4 separate regions of the Mus musculus genome follow, and regions 1, 2 and 3 are each reported to be linked to region 4. Evidence: microRNA targets listed by miRTarBase, many of them from high-throughput screens and not tested one by one. Region 4 holds a microRNA gene; each other region holds the end of a gene's coding sequence.
Evidence for each region. The annotated mature microRNA mmu-miR-9-5p reads UCUUUGGUUAUCUAGCUGUAUGA and lies in region 4 at 1,443-1,465, opposite strand. An mRNA with a match to its seed (bases 2 to 7 or 8) in the 3' UTR can be bound and repressed. Matches are read on the target gene's strand: a 7mer-m8 pairs with bases 2 to 8, a 7mer-A1 pairs with bases 2 to 7 and ends in A, and an 8mer does both.

Region 1 (3,079 bases), not on the chromosome of region 4:
CCGTACCTCAGGGAACGTTCCGACCTTGGGCAAGGCCTGAGGTTCCTTAGGAAGCCTGCATCCTTCCTGCCCTCACCCGCCCTTCAGTATCTCAGGCACGCTGTCAGAGTGCTGGCCGCAGTGGGGGCAGAGCTGTTGACAGGCTGTTTCTTCCTCCAGGAGTGACCTGCCGTGTGGCTATGAGGCTGAGGACCAGGCCAAGCTTTTCCCTCTCCACCAAGAGACAGCAGCCAGCTAACTCCCAACCCTGGCCACATATCTGCACTTTCAGGTAGCTGCAGGCCACTTCCCTCCCTAGCCCCAGCCTCCTCCTGTCTGGCCATGGCTGCTTCTCCTGTTCATGTGTATGTGTATATGTTTGTATGTGTCTGTATGTGTGTGTTGTGTGTGCATGAGTGTACCCACATCAGGAGGCCAAGGTTAGTAGGTGTGGGTGTCTTCATTTGTGTGTGTGTGTGTGTGCGCGCTCACATCCACAGGCCAGCCTTGGTGTGGGTGTCTTCCTCTCTCACTTTCCATCTTACTTTTTGAGGTCTCTCACAGAACCTGGAGCTTGCTGTTTTGGGGTAGACTGGCTGGTCAGTCACCTCCCCACCCTCCCTCTGTCCCACCCCACCCCCCATATCTGCCCATTTCTGTCCCCTGGGGTACTGGGGATCCAAACATAGTCCTCATGTCTGTTCAGTAAGCACTTAGTGACTGAGCCAAAATCTTCCAACTCCTGCTTGGCCCTGTATGGCTGCACGAGGCAGAGGCAGGGAGATCATGAGTTCAAAGGAGTCCTGGATTCATGAGACCCTGTATCAAAACCAAACAGAAACATTTGCTAAAAAGCCCAAATCTCATTCATAGCCAACCCTGACCTCCCATGGCCCCAAGCCTTCCCTTAGGTGCTGGTGGTAATCACAGTACTCATTTCTACCACTAGGGGTCACTGTCATACATTAAAATTTTTGTTAAAGGCAAGGGCTGCTGTCCATCGGTCTACTACCTTGTGCCTTTACCCTAAAATAGCCTTAAAATAGCCTTAGATACACAGAGATGTCTAAGCCACCTCGTGTAAAGGTGATGTCTGCACTACTCCTGGATTGACATATGCTGCCAAAGACTCTCGGTGTCTCTAGCTAGAAACAACAGTACGGTCAGTAAAAATGGAAACCAGCTGCCTCCCCATCCACTAACCCTCCAGCTTCAACACCTCCCCAATCACACCAAGTCCCCGATCACACCAGGACCTGGTGTCACCGGGCATATTCCATGTTTGTTTTAGACCCCAGATGGTCAGAGAGACCTATGTTATGGTACACTTTATAGCTCCTTTGCTGAATCAAGAGAAAATGTCCAGTCTTGCTGAGATGCACGAGGCCGCGTCCCTCCCAGGCTTTCCCCGGACAGTGGCTCAGGCAGAAAAGCAGGAGAGAAAGAGATGTGTTAAGGGGGAGAGGATGCTGGCAAGACTTGGGGTGGAGAAACATGGATTGGACTGGCTGGCAGTGGGGGGTGGGGCTGGCTTCGTGGTGTTCTATGTTGTCTGTTCCTACACAGAGGCCAGGCCGGGCTGGCTCCTCACACCCTCTTTCTCTTTCTTCCCCAGTTTCTAAGAGGGACTGAGGCCTCTTCTCTCAGCATGCTGCAAAACCTGTGGTCTCTGACACTAACTCCCTCCCCAGCCCGTGATGTTGGACTGTTTGATGTCTCCTCCTATTCCGTATCTCTTTGTACTCTGTATCTATCTATCAGAAGCTGCTGCTGTCTCTCCTCTCTGTCCTCCCCTCTAAGTATCTGATGATGTATTTAGCAGTTTTTAAGCATAGTCTCCCTTCCTCGTTGGGCGTTAGGGAGGAGGGAATATTTCTTCTTTCTTCCATAGACTCGTTTCTTACACCGAGTGATGTCAGTCACTGAGTAGAGGTCACAAAAGATAAAGGAAAAATGGGAGCGGGGAGGCTGCCCTTCTTCTCTCTCACAAACACACGTGTACACGCACACACGCATGCACACACAGTGTACATACAAAGCCTTAAGCAGAGGAATGTCTTAGCATCTACGAAAAGAGAGAAATAGACCCCTTCCCTCTTTACACAGAACACAGAGGAGGCCCCAGTGGAAGGTTGCGACACCGCTCTCTCCCTCACACATACGCATCCCTCACCGGAGTCAGCACACTGGAGGCGGTCTCCTCTGCCCTGTGAGGTCTGCCTTGTGCTCCCTTCCCTGGTTGGAGAGCATGGACTACTCAAGGGACTGTTTCCCTTTCTGGCCCAAGCCTCTTGTACTTTCCACTCCAGATATCACAACCAGAACTTAGAGTTGGTTTAAAACATCTTCTGAAAATTCGAGAAGGCGGACTGCTGAGAAACCGCTGCTCACCTGTCTGTGCCAATAGTTATACGCAGGTGGAGTCAGAATGGTTGGCTCCCTGGCTCTGGGGAGTGAGCAGGCTGAGGGACTACTGTGTGCTACTCTGTCACAGAACCCTCAGGTTGAAGCTCCAAGCTCGTTCTTTCTCCCATATTGGGCTGTGTGTGCTTCCCACTCCTGACTTTGGTTTGGGGCTTCCGGTTTGTTGGCATAATCGCCGTCTCTAGATGCCGTCCCTTCAGAATGGAATCTGGCCTGTTCCCAGTATACCTTCCTCCCCCAAACACAGTTCCTTCTGTAATCTCCATCTGGTCCCAAGTGCACTTTAAAGACAGGGGTGGGGGAGCAGGTTGGAGCATGGTGGCAGGCGGCCTCCCTGACACAGGAAAAAGCTCTGCTGTTGATCCCAGCACTGCAAAAGCAAAAAAGCAGAAGCTGGGTGTAGTGGCTCACACTTTCGAATGTTGCTCTCAGGAAGCCGAGGTAGGAAAATTGCTAAATTTGAGGCTATCCTGGACTACACAGTTAGATCCAGGAGAGCTTGTACTATGACGGGAGGAAATCCTATCTCAGAATGAAGGAAAGGGAAGAAGGAAGAGGAAGGAAGGAAGGAAGGAAAAGTAAGGAAAGGGAGGAAGGAAGGAAAGAAAGGAAGGAAGGGAGGAAAGGAAGGAAGTGGGGACAGGACAGTTTTTTTCCGAACTGGCAGGGGCTAAGA
Region 2 (3,079 bases), not on the chromosome of region 4:
GGGCAGCTCCCTGGACAGTTTCTCCAAGGGCTCGCTGAAGATCAGCTGGAACCCGTGGCGTCACGGGCTGTCATCCGTGGACAGCCTGCCCCTAGATGAACTGCCCAGCACCGTGCAGCTGCTGCCACCACCTACCCCAGTCCCTGCTCCTGCCCGGGCGGGGGAGCCTCAGGGCGAGGGCCAGTCGCGTTGCAAGTCCAGCGAGTCTCACAGCGCCTCTAGTGACACTATAGAGCTCTAAGCACCTACGGAGAGAACCTGTACCCTCTCCTCAATGTCCACAAGAAGAGGCTGAGCCAAGACAGTTGAGCATTTGAAAAATTGGCCCTCCCGGGCCTCCACCAGACTGCAGCTCCCGGGTACAGCCGGGCTTGAATTTACCCAACTCGTTTTTTGTTTTTGTTTTTTTAATATCTCTATTTTTTTCAGCAGATATTTTGCACAGAGGCCGTGAGTTACACGGAACACAGGGTGGATGTGCATGGATTTGATCATGGGGGCCAGGGGCCAGGTACCCCTGACCCTCTCAGTGTGGAGAGATGCACCTCACTTGTCCAGACTGACTGTCCTCTTTGTGCCAAAGAAATAAAAACCCTTCCGATTGGGCTCATGCCTCGCTCTGGTCAAGCCAGGGTCTCTCCTCACAGCAGAGACCTCTGGCTTTGGTAGGTACAGCCACCCCTATCTCACTAAAAACCCGTCTGTTGTGGAGTCCCCACCTCCTGCAAACCCCATATAAGGCCTAATCGGAAAGTATCCTGCCCACTTCCGGAAATGAGAACAGCTGGGGTTCAACCCAGGAAGACCGACTCCTAAGCTGGTTCCTCTGTCATCTTTCCCCTTCCTCCATTTCTTGCTGGTTTTTATTTAAAAACATTGTTTTTTGTAGATTTATTTTATGTGTATGAATGTTTTGCCTGCATGTCTATGTGCACCATGTGTGTGCTTGGTACCCAAGGTCAGAGACTGAGTCCAGTCCCTTAGGACTGGAGGCTGGATGGCTGTGAGGCACTGCATGGGTGCGGGGAATTGAACCTGGAGTCTCTCTGCAAGGGCAGCAACTGCTCCTAACAGCCTCCCTGTCTCCCCAGCCCCTTTCCAGCACTTCTCTAACATGGCAGCCCATGATTCCCCAGGGCTGTAGAAAACTTCACTTTAGTGGCAGTGGTGGGTTGTTAAGACTGAAGCTTTTCCCATTTTCAAGACCGTCCTTTATTTCCTGAGATGAATAAATAAGTCGATGGCTAGGGCGTGGGCGGTGAATACACAGCTGGAGCTGGCAGCATGCACCTGGCAAGGGGCCTATGGGGGCCCACCCCTGAGGGGACACCTCTCATCCGGGTCAGGGGCCAAAGCCCACCTGCAACCTCCCTGGGGAGAAACTGTCTTGGGATTCATACACGGTGAGGCCTGCCAGTGTCCTAGGCTAGGATCTCGTGGCATCTGCTTCAGGACCTCTTTTTCAACCCCCTGGGGCCACTGGGGTCCTGGGCTGCTCAGTAAGGCAGGTAAAAGGGTGTTTACCCCAGTCTCAAAGAGAAACTATGCTGTCCCAGGTATCCATAGGGAGAGAGAAATAACCTCTAGGAGCAGCCTGGGTGGGAGGAAATCCTGTGAGTGGCGGCAGGGATTATCTACCCTTGATGAAGCCCTCCAGCACACGGTCACTCCGCTCTGACAACCAGTACCCAGTCATGGCTGCCACAGCTCCAATGAAGATGGCAGTGAACACCAAGTCACCCTTGGCAGCAAGCGTGGCCAGCGCACAGATGATTACACCAAAGAACATCTGCTGCAGAACCACCATTTCATCCTCCGTCATCTCCGCAAAGAAGCCCGCCGACTCTGCAGAGGAGGTGCGCCTGTCACTGCCTCCTTCCTGGCAGTTCCCGGAGCTGCCCACACCTCCCACACGCCTGATCACGGCTGCCCGGGCCCGCCTAGCTCACCAAGCACAAGCAGCATTCACTACTGAGAAAGCCTTGCAGGAGCTACCTCACTAAGCTCGAAGGAAGCTGGGAGGTGAAGGGACTGCTCAAAGCTTTGAAGGACGGTCCCTGGGAACATCAGAAAACTTGGGATAGGTGGAGTTTGCTGCCAAATCTAATTCTCTTTCTACGCGGAGGTGAGACCACCAAAAGCCGACCTTGAGGATGCACAGGGACTGAGTCTCAGGGCAGCCTCTCTGGGGGCTGGGTAGCAGTGGGGTGGGGCCCGGAGGAGGAGCTTGTCTGCTCTCCCTCAGGAGCAGTCCAGCCTCCCACCCTGCTTACCCGGGACCTGCTCCTTCACGCAGATGCCGTCCTCCTGTCTGTAGCCCTCAGCACAGACACAGCGGTAGCCTCCCTCCGTGTTTTCACACTTCTCATTCTCTCCTGGACACACCACAGTCTCACACTCATCCACATCTGGGGGTGGGGGAGGGGAACAGGTCAGGGTGCTGACTGCCACAGGCTCCCCGCACAGCTCCCCACGGTCTCAGTGTGCATCCTTCCTTCCCTTGCCTCCCCCATACTCCAGCCCCTTTTGGCAGAAGACTCACCTAGGCACTTGGAGCCCACCTGCTGGTAGCCACGGCTGCACTTTTTGCAGCGCCCTGGCCCTGCTCCCATACAGCCCAGGCAGGCCTTTGCACAGTCTGAAAAAGAGAGGGCAGAAGTGAGGGGTGCCCCCCCCCCCGCCCCAATCTCAGGCTCTGGAGCCTGAATAGCAGAAGTTCGGAGGGAAAGGCCTGAAGCACCACCTCCTGTCCCTCTCTTCCATTCCAGCCTCTCCCTTGGGCAGCCGACACTGACCTCGGCACTCGTAGGATCCTTCTGTGTTCACACAGAACTGGTCAGCTCCACAGGTGGCTTGCTCTGTACCACACTCATCGATGTCTGTGGAGAGGGCAAAGGTTGGGAGTGTCCCTTTGCAGAGGAATTACGGCAGGACTGTCCAGGAGTGGACTTGTCTATGATCGCAAATGTGGTAGATGCTGCAGGCCGACTACCAACTCTTAAGTAAGGGCAGCTGGATTAGCGCTATCCTGTCAGACACTCGAGCCCTGCGGCTAGGTGCAGCCCTCTGCCTGGGATGG
Region 3 (3,079 bases), not on the chromosome of region 4:
TTTTCTGTGACTGGTAACTTCCAATGACCCAGCCCCCTACTACTGCCATCATTCTGGGGCTTAGCATTTCAGCATGTGAGTTTAGGGGGCTCAGACCACCGTCTCAATATAAATCAACATGCTACATCTTCATTCCACTAAGGAATGCTTCATTTCAAAGGGAAACAGAAGTGTAAACAAAAAAAAAGTTTCCTTAGTTACACCGAATGAAGAAAATTGGTTACGGCTTTTTAAATATCTATTTGTGAATATGTCGTTTCATTTGTATGTCTCTGTCATTTTTGTTAATATGAGTAACCTGGATAGTCTAGAACCTATTAGACCTTGTCAAGTCTTGTTTTGTTTTTTTAGCGACAGTGATGAAAAACCTCTCAAGGGAAGCCTTCGGTCCCTGAATAGGAACATGCAGCCCACAGAGAGTGCTGACAGTTTAGTGGAATATGGAGAGGGAGACCAGTCCATATTCAACGAAGATGGATCGTTTATTGGCGCATACACTGGAGCTAAGGAGAAGGGATCCGTTGAAAGCAATGGAAGTTCAACTGCCACCTTCCCACTCCGGGCATGAGAACAACACATTCAGGCACCACGGGTGGCTAAGCCGGACAAGGGGAGCAAGGCCTTTTACACAGGAGCGGAAACGCGTGTCCAGAGGTTGATATTCTGCAATTTTGATGAAAGAAATAGCACTGCCTTCAAAAAGAAAAAGGGAAAAAAAATCAGATGCCAAGAACTTCAGACTTGTGTTTCATTTTGGGTTTTGATTTCAGGTGCTCAAAATGCAGAACACGAAACAAATCCTGTACTTAGATCCACTTTGACTGAATCCAAAGTTCCCATTTCAGATACTCCACATCTACCTGGCTCTCCTGTTCAGTGTGTGTGCATTGATGTTGCTAAGATGTGTGGGTTTCTCTCTGGATGCACAATTATACTTAGTTTTGAAGAACTGTTTTAGTGAATTCGATTCACTACAGGATAAAAGATTGTAAGCAAGCAAGCTGGTTATTTAAAATGTAAAAAGGAACATGATTGTCTTATTAAACATCCCGTGGAATCTATACAGTCTAAAGTTATTATTTAAAATTTTAGTAGCAAAAGTCTTAGATGATCATACCACTCATATTTATTGAGCTCCTAACTTTTTGCCCAGACAAAGGCCATCTTTACTCAGATTACAATATTTTCAGTTTCTGGATGATTCTGTTTAATTTCTGTTAGTAATGGTAACTCTGTATGTACCTTTCCCTCCCTCCCTCCCCTCCCTCCCCTCCCTCCCTCCCTCTTTCTTTCTTTCTTTCTTTCTTTCTTTCTTTCTTTCTTTCTTTCTTTCTTTCTTTCTTTCTTTCTTTCTTTCTTTCTTCTTTCAACTTGAACTAACTGGAGCTGCAAAGGGAGTGGTAGTCATAAGTTATTTTAAAAAGAGAAAGATGTAGACGTCTTGATTTTATATCTTCATTTGTAAGTTTAGGGCTTTCAGCCTTTATGTTTATATACTGAGACCCTTGAGTGTATTTCATGAATGCATTGTACATATTATGTTAATATTTACACAGTTTAAAACATAGTGTTTTATTTTAAAGTGAGAAAAGGAACATTAATAGGCATGATTGTACAGCTAGAATATATATAGTAAGATACCATTTTTATTCTTCTGGGGCTAGATACAATAACATGAGGTTCCATATACAAGACTATATGAAAAATTGGATTCTGTCCTTATATTTCCCTCCTTCATGTGGTCTCAAAAATAAAACATTATATAATCATAGAGGGAAATACATTCATATTTTCCAAAGTAAGTTGTGGAATGGATTCCTACCCCAGCACTCCAAAAAGAAAATTACCTACAGTAGAAATTCTTATATACCTGTTAGTTTATATCATATTGTAAATGTATTTGTAGTGGTATGATCATTTTTAATGTTTTCCTTCTATCAAAGTTAGTACAGATTCAGGGATTTTAATTTCTGGCATGTGGGCTACCAGTCCATCTAAAATGGTACATAGGGTTTAGAGCATTTTAGAAATCCCTTGAAGGACTCTGCATACATATAAGTAAATGTTAAATATTAGTATTTCCTTTCACATTTAATGGAAACATTTTAGCTTCACCATGAAATTATTACATGTTAAGTGATATTGGTTCACAGATTTAACTTTAGTTTGTATAATTACTGACCATATTATTCATTCTTCATGTTTAATTGGCATAATGCATTGTGTTACTTGGGGATTTAAATTGTGGACATGCAAAAGAGCCAATGCAGTAATAAACATGAAGCATATGTTTTGCCCACAGGCATCCTCGAGAATGCATAGGCAGGAAAATCTTGGTTTTGTTTTTGTTTTTAATTTTTGTGGATGTTTCTTGGGGTTTTGTTTTGATTTTTTGTTTTGGTTGGTTTTGGGTTTGTTTGTTTGTTTGTTTTTAAAACCCATGGATCTCAGTATTCAGTTACTCTCCTGGAAGTACCAAATGAAAGCGGGTGTGAGTGTAAGGATCCAGAAGTCCAGCTGTGTGAGCAGCTCTCCAGCCCTTTCTGATGACCAGGGCACAGATTTCTGGAAAATCCATCACTGTGTGCTATTTTTATGGGAGGACCTGTAGTGCTGAGCCCCAGAGGAAATAATGGATGTGACTGACATTAAACATGTTATTATTCTGCCTCCTCTTTATCATCAAAATGTGCCTGGAAAAGGGTTATATAAGTGGAAAATAACATCCAAACGTTCAGAATAGAGTCATTAGGAATTTAATAATCTTCGAGTGAGAAGTTGACACAAATACTTATATTTCCAATGGATCTCATCATTCTTTCCTTAGCTGTGGGAATGGGAGATTGGCTTATAACACCTTTTGCTAGCCTCTGTGAACTTATACATACTATTTGGTTTCATTCCGTTGTAACTCTTCAGCAAAGCAGGCCAAGGTCCATGGACTTTTTATTTTAATTATAGAATTATATTACTTACTACATTCAAATGAAAACAAATCCAATTGGTTAAAGTGGATTTTATTCTTTTACTGTCTCAAACAATGGGTGGCAGACTCTGACGTGCAATGCTGACTACAATG
Region 4 (3,079 bases):
CCGATGAAGTAAGTCATAATAATGAATGCTATGAGACATGACTTTAAAATATAACACAGCCAAAACAAAAGCCAAAGGTGGTCACAAGGCCCTAACCACATACTGAGGACTTCTCTGAGAAGGGCATGCAGTTCTGGGGCACTCTTGGCACCCTTTCCACTTGTTTTCCTTAAATGGTGAAAATTTCAACCAAAGGAGAAATCCAAATTTAATCATGGCCAGATTAAACAGAGGTTTAAAAATGAACAGAGACAGTACATAGCAGCTACCAACCAGTTGGTGTTGCCATTTGGGAGGCTGCAGATGGCTGTGGGTGGGAAATGCCTTTACTTTCTTAAGCGATGGAGATGAGTATGGTGTGTGTGTGCTTGATGTTTTTTTCATACCCCTACCCCCCAACAGGGCTGTCTGTCATAGGCTGCCGGCCAGGCTTTACCACTTGCCCCCGAGCGTGGGAATCGGAGCGTCCTGCCGTTCACATCTCCTGCTTTCCGTTTAGCGGAATCAATTAGGCAAGACAGACCCTCAGATTCCCCACCCCCTTTCCATTTTTGTCAGGTCTATATACGTCCTAATTATTTCAGTTTGGGATGCCAGAGCTGTTTCCTGGATAGACCTGATCATCCTTAAACAAAAAGAGAGGAGGCGCACACGTGGGTTGTGGCGTAAATGTCACTTTCATTTCCAATGCTAGGCGCAGAGTAAGACAGAACATTTTTTTAACACTTTGACAAGAGGGGAGGCGATCTCGTCTCCATCATGTCTTTCTGCTTCAGTAGCTTCCTCAAGGAAACCCTCTTGGAACAGAGAAGCATCTGTCCTTGTATTTTGAATAGAAGAATAAAAATCAGCCTTTGCCCCCACCCCTTTTCCCTGCTAGCTCTAAGTCTTCGGTAGATATAAATTATTAACCTTCCAGTATAAGCTTTACTGAAAGTCTAACTTCACAGAATTTGATGTACACACCCAAATACATAGAAAGTTTCCAGGCACAAGCTTCAAACTTGGGGGAGGGGCCTCAGATAGGAACAGCCCAAATCTACATAATTATGAAATCATTTTTAAGCGAGGTACCAGACATCACTATAACAGCTTTCTAAGAAAAAAAAAGAAAAAAAAAACCTCATATGTAAACGTTTGCTTCAAAATGAACAATATAGAAAATACATGCATCGTCACCCGTAAAAAACACTACACAATTCTCCTCTCCAGTTGTACAAGCCCCTCAAAGCCTGGCCCCTTTAGATTTCAATATGCGTGTCACTTAATTTTCTTGCATCCCACTTTCAATCATAAGATAAAAAAAGTTAGATTCAATAAGCATTCCTGACCTTTCTGGTTTTTACTGTCTCTTGGTTGCAGTCTTTCTTTCCGGAACGTTCCTCGGTGACCTTGAAGGAGTTTTTACTTTCGGTTATCTAGCTTTATGAAGACCAATACACTCATACAGCTAGATAACCAAAGATAACAACTCGCTTCCCTCACAAGGCTGCCTTCCTCTGGCTGAACTCCAGATCTCGATCCTCTTTGGCTTTAGGGAAGCGTAGTCCTCCGGGGTACTTGCCGCGTTTAAGCTTCTCCTTTCATGTAAACATGACCTGGTTTCTGTCTTAGTGTGTGCGGCTAGAACATCCAAATGAGATCTGTTGCATTCAGAGTTTATTCCAAACTTTTCCCCTTCCAGCAAGTAATCTCCAGTATCGTTAGCCAACAATTCATCTATGAGTATCAGAAATTAAGACCAGAGACTAAGGTGCAGCAAGCTGTTGGGGGTGAGCAGCAGTGTCCTTCTCTTCACAGGCCTCTATTTGCATTGTAAATTGCTTCATTCTCACGGAAGATTCTTTAGCCTTCCTCTACTGAGATGTATAAAGCCATCGGCAGTTTCCAACGCTGGTTAAAGAGGAAGAAGGGGGAAATCCCATTCTATAGAAGTGACAGCTGATTCAAAGATCTGCTCCGGATCATTGGGTTAGGCATCATGATCTTTTTTACCAAGTGCAGGCAGCTTGATTGCACATATCTTGTATGTGAATGTTTTAAGGGAGATCCTCGATTTCTTAGGACTTCTAGGCGGGCAGAGCATGCCCTCTTGCTGGCGTACTGCTGCCCCGGTCTGAAAGAAGGAGAAAAGGGCCATCATTGGAGGGGCTTTCACCGCCAAATTGTGGACCAGCCCGGCAAGGTCAAAGGTTTGAGACTGCGGGAGACCAAGGTAATGATGATGTCATGAGAAATCTCAAGTACATGGTTATTGATATGCATCAGTGGTCACCCAACTGCCCCACGCCTGCTGCCAGGAGTAGCACAGGCGACGGCGGCGGCGACGGCGGCAGCGGTGGCGGCGACGGCAGCAGCAGCTTTGCAGCAGTCCCTATATTCTCAATCAACATTTCATCCACTAGCACTACGGACTGCTCCTTGAAAAGCAACCCGCGGCCTTTTACCTCCTTGGCGCTAGTGTAGATCGCTCTAATATCCAAAGAATGGAGAAAATCTCTCTCTAAGGATAGATAAAAGCATTTCAGGTCTGGGGAACTTCTTTGCCTGCATTTCTCTTCTGGCAGATTGCATAGGCAGGCAGATGGAAGGCACTTTACTATTGCTTAAAGCAGGGCCTCGCTTTCTGGGGCTGGGAATCAGCTCTGTTTTTACGCAGTGAGTCGATGGTTACAATGACAATTTGCTTTGGTGTTATGTTTTTAATGGCTTTACAGCTCAGTCATGTTTTCTATCTGTGTACCGTGGCGATAGGGCAGCATATTTGTTCTGTAAGTTCGAACTGCACGATCTAAACAGTGGGGCTTCTTTTTTAAAAATGCTTTGCATATAGAGTGTGTGTGGGGGTTAGCATGCTGCACAGGTAAACATTGCAGCAATAGTTTCAATGTTGTACACAACTCTGCTGTAGCAAAAATGCTGAGCCTTTGTCTACTGTTTTAACATAAATTTCACACTGGACAATAATGCACTAGACTTGCTTATAAAATTAAAATAAAAGTCTTGTCTCCTGAACATGTAGATCCAACACCTGGATGGGGAGGGAGGGAAGCTACCACACCTCCCTGGCCCCACCCAC

Region 1: the mRNA of Kif5a is a reported target of mmu-miR-9-5p. The part of its 3' UTR that is shown has no 7-base or 8-base seed match.
Region 2: the mRNA of Prrt3 is a reported target of mmu-miR-9-5p. Seed matches in the 3' UTR shown: 7mer-A1 at 578-584.
Region 3: the mRNA of Chl1 is a reported target of mmu-miR-9-5p. The part of its 3' UTR that is shown has no 7-base or 8-base seed match.

Annotation. Positions count from the first base shown.
Region 1 is chr10:127,226,937-127,230,015 of GRCm38, reverse strand. Kif5a (kinesin family member 5A) reads left to right here. Exons shown (of 29, transcript NM_001039000.4): 28 at 160-271; 29 at 1,595-3,079. The coding sequence ends at 238. Among named protein-coding and RNA genes, the nearest start is that of Pip4k2c, 17 kb to the right of the region's middle.
Region 2 is chr6:113,491,453-113,494,531 of GRCm38, reverse strand. It overlaps Prrt3 (proline-rich transmembrane protein 3), which reads left to right. Exons shown (of 4, transcript NM_001289700.1): 4 at 1-893. The coding sequence ends at 241. Creld1 (cysteine-rich with EGF-like domains 1) reads right to left here. Exons shown (of 10, transcript NM_133930.2): 7 at 2,796-2,879; 8 at 2,543-2,638; 9 at 2,274-2,408; 10 at 1,189-1,845. The coding sequence ends at 1,631. Among named protein-coding and RNA genes, the nearest start is that of Prrt3, 8.9 kb to the left of the region's middle.
Region 3 is chr6:103,728,768-103,731,846 of GRCm38, forward strand. Chl1 (cell adhesion molecule L1-like) reads left to right here. Exons shown (of 27, transcript NM_007697.2): 27 at 352-3,079. The coding sequence ends at 568. Among named protein-coding and RNA genes, the nearest start is that of Gm52914, 19 kb to the right of the region's middle.
Region 4 is chr13:83,737,207-83,740,285 of GRCm38, reverse strand. It overlaps Mir9-2 (microRNA 9-2), which reads right to left and starts at 1,472; the gene lies at 1,401-1,472. It overlaps C130071C03Rik (RIKEN cDNA C130071C03 gene), which reads right to left. Exons shown (of 4, transcript NR_152245.1): 4 at 1-2,116. It overlaps Gm51268 (predicted gene, 51268), which reads left to right and starts at 1,410; the gene lies at 1,410-1,465.